Xenopus tropicalis: one gene and its partner. The protein of the gene in region 1 interacts with the protein of each later gene in a pairwise test. Links are inferred from orthologs where the notes say so. Each region holds a gene or a part of one and is shown on either strand. Other genes may lie near its edges. The genes, in order: dzip1 and ppp2r5a.

Region 1 (3,830 bases):
CCGTTTGCTTAAGACAGCAGCTGCCATTTTAAATAGCTTTCTGTTTGCAGTCTAGCCATTATAGCTCAGATCACACATTCCTAAGGGAGGAGAAAGACAGTTCTTAGCATTCTTATGGGAAAGGGAAGCAGGAGAAGGGAGAGAGGAGAGATCTGTGCAGACTCTGGCTACGGGAATTAAGGATTTTTCTGAGAAAGAAAGTCAGACACCCAAACATCATGTTTACAAAAAAAGAGACAAGAAATCATGTGTTTCTTTTGATAGAGGACTCAACGCAGCGTTTCTGTGAGTGCTTATGGCTGTATTTACATAGACCTTTCTGTTAAAGCTTACTTAGTTTAGTTAATACTAGTACCAGGTTGTAACGTAGTTGTATTAATAGGTCTATAAATAAGGACCTGGTGGGTCTGGAATACATCAGGTGTATCCTGTCTATATACATTGCCGCCTCAAACTGTTTTAAATATTTTTGTACATATAAAAGCTGTGTTTAAAGGAGAAGGAAAGGTAAAAACTAAGTAAGCTTTATCAGAAAGGTCTATGTAAATACAGCCATAAGCACTCACAGAAACACTGCACTGATTTTTCTGTCAAAAGATAAGTTGTGTCTGTTTTCCTCTGCCAGAGACATGCAGCTCTCTGCTTTATGCTCTCTCCTGCTCCCCCTCCCTCAGGAATGCTAAAAACTCACTCTCCCCCCTTAGAAATGTGGTTCTGAGGCAATCAGCAGCAAGCTGACTCATAGTCTAACTAACTGAGCATGTTCATTTGGTCTGGGTGTCTGTGCAGGAGTGAGGCATTATGGGAACTTTCTTTACAGAGCTCAGCATTTTTTTCTTCCTGTTTGGCTTCTGATCATTTTTTTTACTGTTAAGCTAGTGCCACATAGGGCTGATTCTCGACCTGCAGAAAATTGAAGGCACCCGGAAGCATTGTCTTTGACCTGGTGCGGGCAGATGTGGCGTATATCAGCAGAAAAAAAAAGAGTTCGCATTTCACAGCCGATATCCACCACATCTGCCTGCACCAAAGCAGATACAATGCTTCCGGGTGCAGGTAATGTAAGAGGCTGGTGCCAGCGTAGGGGCTGATCAGCCCTGTGTGGCACTAACCTAACAGTGAAAAAAGTGGTATAATGTGACTAATGCTTTATCATTGGGATTTTCAGCAGCCATATGATGAACATATTTACAGCAAAGTTCAATTATATTTTTGATTATATTAACCTTTGAAATTATATGAACAATACATATTTACATACATATGTTATGAAGATTTGGGTTTAAGCTCTTTCTTTTCTGTGTTGTGTTTTAACAAATGTAATTTTTTTAGTTTCACGAAACAGGACATCGGAAATCATTTGAACAAGAGATGCTAAAAAAGTTTAATAGCTGGAAAGAGGAAGAAAAAGAAAAACATGCTGAAGAAATAGCTAAAGTAAAGGATAAGCTTCAGAAAGAGGTTACAGAATTAGCTGTGAAGAATGCCTCTTTAGGAAAAGTAAGTGGGGTTTGCCTTTACACTTCTCTACTACTGGAAGTTATAACTGCACCAAGATGTTCAAGCATACTGAAAATGTTATAAATATTTGAAGATTTGTACAAACAGTACAGTCTTCTGTACTGTTTGGTATTTTTTTCTGCTGTATCTTGTTACAGGGTTTTTTTTTTATCTTAGGTAAAGGAGCAGTCTATAAAGCTGACACCTCCTGTTGCTACATATTCAGGTAAGTAACTAAAAAATATAATTACTGTCCAAGTTAGTTGTAATGGCCAGTGTGCACAAAATTCCAGCTGTTATTTGGCATTTTACAGTGCCTTGATGCAGGGAGTTAATACTTAGGAACTTCTCCAGGCCACTTCAGCAGTATGCTCTCATACTTCCATTTTATAAATAATTTCAGTATGTAGTTGTGTTTGTTTGTTTTTTAAATCAGTAAAATAAGAGCATTGATCAAGGGACAAAATTAGGTGAGGTTAGGCTAATGTTCCACGCCAAGAATAGTCGCCTGCGATAGATCTTTACCACAGCGGTCCACCAATCTCTCTGAAATGCCTTTCCACTGGCAACAACGGGACACGCCAATGGCCTTACGTATCACTTCAGTTTTCTGAAGTTGTGCAAAGTTGCCTGCATGAGATCTGTCGCAGGCGACTAATTCCTCCATGGGATATTAGCCTTAGGTTAGGTTAGGGGTTAATGTCTGGCATAACTTTGCTTTTATAAATATTGATGTTACCTCAATGTTAGCTAAGAAGGGCTGGACTAATAGAGACATATAAAGGCACCTATAGCTTAGTCATTGGTGAACCAGCATACCATTTTTACTAATTAATCAGTATGTATTTTGTAAGGTAAAAACAATATATTGATATGAGAACCCCATAACATTTTGTATTCAGTTATAATTACACAGTTTTAACTGCACAAATGATGTTAATTTATTACATCTGTGTGTTTAAAATGTATAGCAAAATTGTGGATATTGTTAACTAAAATTATTTTGCTCATTTAGAAATTGTACAAGCTCCAACACCACTGTCACATCACTCTGAGATAAAACCTAATGCATCGTTACTAAGTGGTAAGTGTTTTTTGGGGTTTTTTTTAACGTTCTTTAGGAATCATTTACGATACAGTACACAGTGTGCAGTCAGCTTTTTTTGCATTTTGCGCACTGCATTCTGCTTTTTAGGAATCGCCAAAACAGAGCCCAGAGAGCTGCCGCTTCTCTGACGAATACAGTCCGTCTTGACTGCGTTAGTCAGAGCTGTATTGGGGAGTTGGGAACACTTGCACATGCCCCACCTACTGCCCTCTAACTTGCATGTCATTTAGACATGCAATTATTTAACAGCAGGATGTAGAGGCCACAACAGTGCCCTGAACTTTTTTTCTGCCTTATAGGGGGCATGAAAAGGCCCTGCTTGGGTGTGCAAATAAGTGCATCCCTTAAAACATTTGTATGCTGCTCCACTAAGGCTCCAAATAAACCAACTGCCCAATTGTGTGTGGTACCTTTATTCAGTCCTATGTTTCAAAAGGAACACTGCAATAAGCACTGCACTGACAGGTATTTGATATTAAAGCTTTTTCTCTTATTGTGTGCACCACTCAGAATTGTTTGTTACACATAATAATTAGTCTGCACACATTTGTGTTTATATACTTTATTTTGCTGACTATTAGACAGAGCCTATATATTGGAACCTATTGAAGAGCTTACAGAGGAGGAGAAAGGTAACAGTGTGTAGTCTAAGCATGTATTTACATGACCTGTGAATTTTACTTTTTTGTGTAATGTTTGTTTGAGATGTCCATACCTTTCCTTTAATCAGGATATTCAGCAATTTACAGTCCTGCAGCTGTTTCTATGCAAACATTAAAGGAGAGGTGTGATCTCAATATGCATGATTCCAGTTCTTTTTAGCTGAATGGCTTTAACAAACACTTTACGCATGTCTTATGAATCCCAACCCAAACTGGCAAAAATCTGCACAAAACAGCTATTAAAATGGTAATACTGTTGTTGATGTTGCATGTTGGACCACTTACAGTGCTGTGCTTCAGTTGTATTATATATATTGTCGTGTATCACAAGATTTTCAGTGGCATAGGGAAGCTCCAAGGCCTTTAGACAACTGCTGATTACATTCACTGAGTGGTGCTGAACATATTGCAATTCCCCAGTGAATGTGACTTTGTTTATTAAGTGCACCCAAATGATTCCACCACCAGAATTCTGCCCCATTGCTGTTGTGGGAATCTAGCTGGGCACTGGTAACCAATTTGTGAACAGACTGATTTCAAAAGCTGATCAAAGCTGCTGA
Region 2 (3,262 bases), on another chromosome or scaffold:
TATTGTCTGGTAATTTTGGGTTATAGTTACAAAAATATCCTGTTCCTAAATTGTTTTTTTGTACGGATATACTGTCAAGTTTGATTAAATTGTGAGCTTGTTGCTTTAATGTTCTCCCTTCTGCCTTATCTTACAGGTTATACGAGGATTACTGAAGTTCTGGCCAAAAACTTGCAGTCAGAAAGAGGTAGCTATATATAAAACTATTACTGCAACTTTAGTGTTACTATTAATACAAGGGATTTACCAGGTCCGTTATTTGGCCAAAGAAAGTACCAATAAAGTGCCCATAGCACATTACTCGAGCTAGCTGATCAAACGTGGAGCTATGCATATCCCTCTCAATATACAGCATTTCTAGCCATATTCTTCTTTTTTTTTTTTACAGTTTATTTGGGATTGTAGTTAATCTGAATTCATATAATGTACTTCATTGCTTCCCTTCTACTCTTTTTTTTTTTTTTTCCAATAGGTGATGTATTTAGGTGAAATAGAAGAAATTTTGGACGTAATTGAGCCAACACAGTTTAAAAAGATTCAGGAGCCTCTCTTTAAGCAAATATCGAAATGCGTGTCCAGTTCTCATTTTCAGGTGGGTAAAAGAGATACAATTTCCAATAAAGAAAACAATTGGTTAAAGGCCTGTACTTGAAATATTAGTCATACAGATGAACTCTTAATGGTATATTTGGAGTTGAGTGAAGCATTACCGGTGATGTGGCCCAGGGCAGCCAATCAGCAATTCAACGGTTAGAAAACCAAAGTAAAGCATCTGATTGGCTGCTATAAGCAACATCACCGGGTAATGTTTTACTCCACTTTTTACACAGCATTATAAATATACCCCTAAGGGTTCAGGGCTTTACCTCTGTAGGAAATAAAATAGAGGTACAAACCCAGCCCAATAATGGCTCTTAATTGCTGGAGGTGTAGCCTCTGCTATATTATATATATTATTATTATTATTATTATTATTAATTAAGTGTATATATTATTATTATTAATTATGTATATTATTAAGTGTGTTGGTGTTTGATCATTAGCTTGAAAGGGCTAAATAATCCTTTAGATCATGGGCTGAAGCTGTGATGCAATAAAGCTGGAGCAGCTGTGCCAGAGCTTATAGGATGTAACACTTCATTTGCAGCTCGGCTTCCTGAATCTGTATTTTGTGTCTCCCTGCCCAGAAGGATATATGTTTGACTTTTCCAGCAAAATGCTAATATTTCTATATACACTGAGTGATAGAGACAATCTGTGCATATATTGTGTAGCAGTAATCTCTCCCTTGGCAAGAAACACTTCCTTACGCTGCACTGGGGATGTTTTTCAGGTTGCAGAACGAGCCTTGTACTTCTGGAACAATGAATACATTCTCAGCCTGATTGAAGAAAACATTGACAAAATTCTACCAATCATGTTTGGTAGTTTATACAAAATCTCCAAAGAACACTGGAACCCGTACGTAAACGTTATTTTCTGATTTCATATATTTATTCCATCTAAACCCAATAATACATTTAACTTACTCCTGGATGTTTCTGTGAGTAATTTTGCATTTTACATTCATTTGATTTGAGATATTTCCATTTTTAGACCAATACCAGTGCAATAGACACTTATGGTTGCTGATACTCTCGAAAAACTGTTGAGCTGAAAGTCTGTCTAGCAGTATAAAATTGCTAATATCTCAAAAACCACTTGAAATAAATAATGAACATAAGTCACAAAGGTGCTCAAAGGACCCGTTAAAACCAGTTAATTTTATTTGGGTTACATTCCCCTTTAAAGGGCATTTCCACCCAAAAACTACTGTTAGCATTACATTTCATTATGCAACTTTTCAATATACATTAACAATCCTCATTGTTTTTTAAGGTATTTGTAAATGTAACTGCAGTTAAAGGAGAACTAACCCCTAAAAATAAATATGGATAAAAATACCATATTTTATATACTGAAATAATTTAACCAGCCTAAAGATTCAGCCTTTCTGTAGTAGTAATGATCCAGGCTTTCACAGTTGTCACATGAGCTTCCTGTCTAGGATTTTATTAGGAGTGTCAGTCACATTGCACATGCTCAGTGTGCTCTGGGCAGCTGCTGAGAAGCTGAGCTTCTCCTCATTTTAGCCAAAAGTCTTTTGTACATTTAGAGGGTGTGTGAAGAAAAATGTAAGAACAGGGTTGCCACTTGACTGGTTTTGAATACCGAGCAGGCAGTTTTCACCTGGACAATCCTTCCTATAACTGAGCTGTCCGGGTCAAAGCTGCCTCTCCAGTTTTCCAAATTAGGAAAAACCGGGCAGGAATCGATGATTGGCGAAATGCCGATCATCGCCCCTCTGACATCACCATCCCCTCCCCACCCCCTGTGTTTCACCGGCTGCCCGGAGTAAGGAGCCGGGTAAGGTGGCAAACCTACTGGGGAAGTGTGTGCAAGGTTTTTTGGCATCTCCCACTGAATCTAGTCGCTTCCTTCAGACACCAGGCCAGTGCTCTGCTCCCACCAAAAATGTAGCAGGCTGGTTACTTTTCTTCTCAGCGCCATGCTGCAAAATTTTAAAGGGCAACCCACCCATATCATATAATCAGCCCCAAATAGGGTTTTTGCTCACGATAGTCTGTCATGGTCTAAAGTGGCTTTAAGAATAGGCTTCCATAGAGGGAATTTATTCTGATAGTCCTGTCCATCCCTTTAGAGAACAACAGCTTAATGAGAGACATTATATCCGTGTTTACAGTAGAAAATACAGTTTAAGGGCTGTGACAGACGGGGAGATTAGTTGCCGCGCAACAAATCTCCCTTGTTGTGGGGGCGACTAATCTCCCCGAAATGCCTTCCCACTGGCTAGAATGTAAATCGCCGGTGGGATGGCATACGCGGCACCGCGATTTGCTGAAGTCACAGAAGTTTCCTCTCAAGGCAACTTTGGCAACTAATCTCCCCATCTGTCACAGCCCTAAGGAGTGCAATAAATGTTGTGCTGAACTTAATGTTTTTGGCCTATTGTTTTATTCAGTCAGCGGGATCTAAACAGTCCCAAAATACAAAGCCACAATTTCTGTAATGTGTCTATGAAGATTTTCATTCATCCAGGTCATGCTATATCTAGTATAAATAAATTTAAAGCAACTGGACTTGTTTGGTAGCAATGTAAACATCTTCAGTGATTACCAAACAAGTCCAGTTGCTTTAAATTTATTTATACTAGATCATTTCTGTAATGGCTACACACCAGCTTTCACGTAGCCCCACATTC

Evidence for each region.
Region 2: the proteins of dzip1 (region 1) and ppp2r5a interact in binary tests that used the Homo sapiens proteins (3 or more experiments, as listed by UniProt). The link is inferred for Xenopus tropicalis from reciprocal best matches to the Homo sapiens genes DZIP1 and PPP2R5A.

What each region holds. Positions count from the first base shown.
Region 1 is NC_030678.2:122,328,710-122,332,539, forward strand, and holds part of dzip1 (zinc finger protein DZIP1), read left to right. Parts: intron 1-1,332; coding exon 1,333-1,500; intron 1,501-1,677; coding exon 1,678-1,726; intron 1,727-2,515; coding exon 2,516-2,584; intron 2,585-3,189; coding exon 3,190-3,240; intron 3,241-3,830. UniProt on the Homo sapiens protein: Molecular adapter that recruits protein complexes required for cilium assembly and function to the cilium basal body.
Region 2 is NC_030681.2:14,617,785-14,621,046, reverse strand, and holds part of ppp2r5a (serine/threonine-protein phosphatase 2A 56 kDa regulatory subunit alpha isoform), read left to right. Parts: intron 1-136; coding exon 137-187; intron 188-472; coding exon 473-592; intron 593-1,333; coding exon 1,334-1,461; intron 1,462-3,262. UniProt on the Homo sapiens protein: The B regulatory subunit might modulate substrate selectivity and catalytic activity, and might also direct the localization of the catalytic enzyme to a particular subcellular compartment.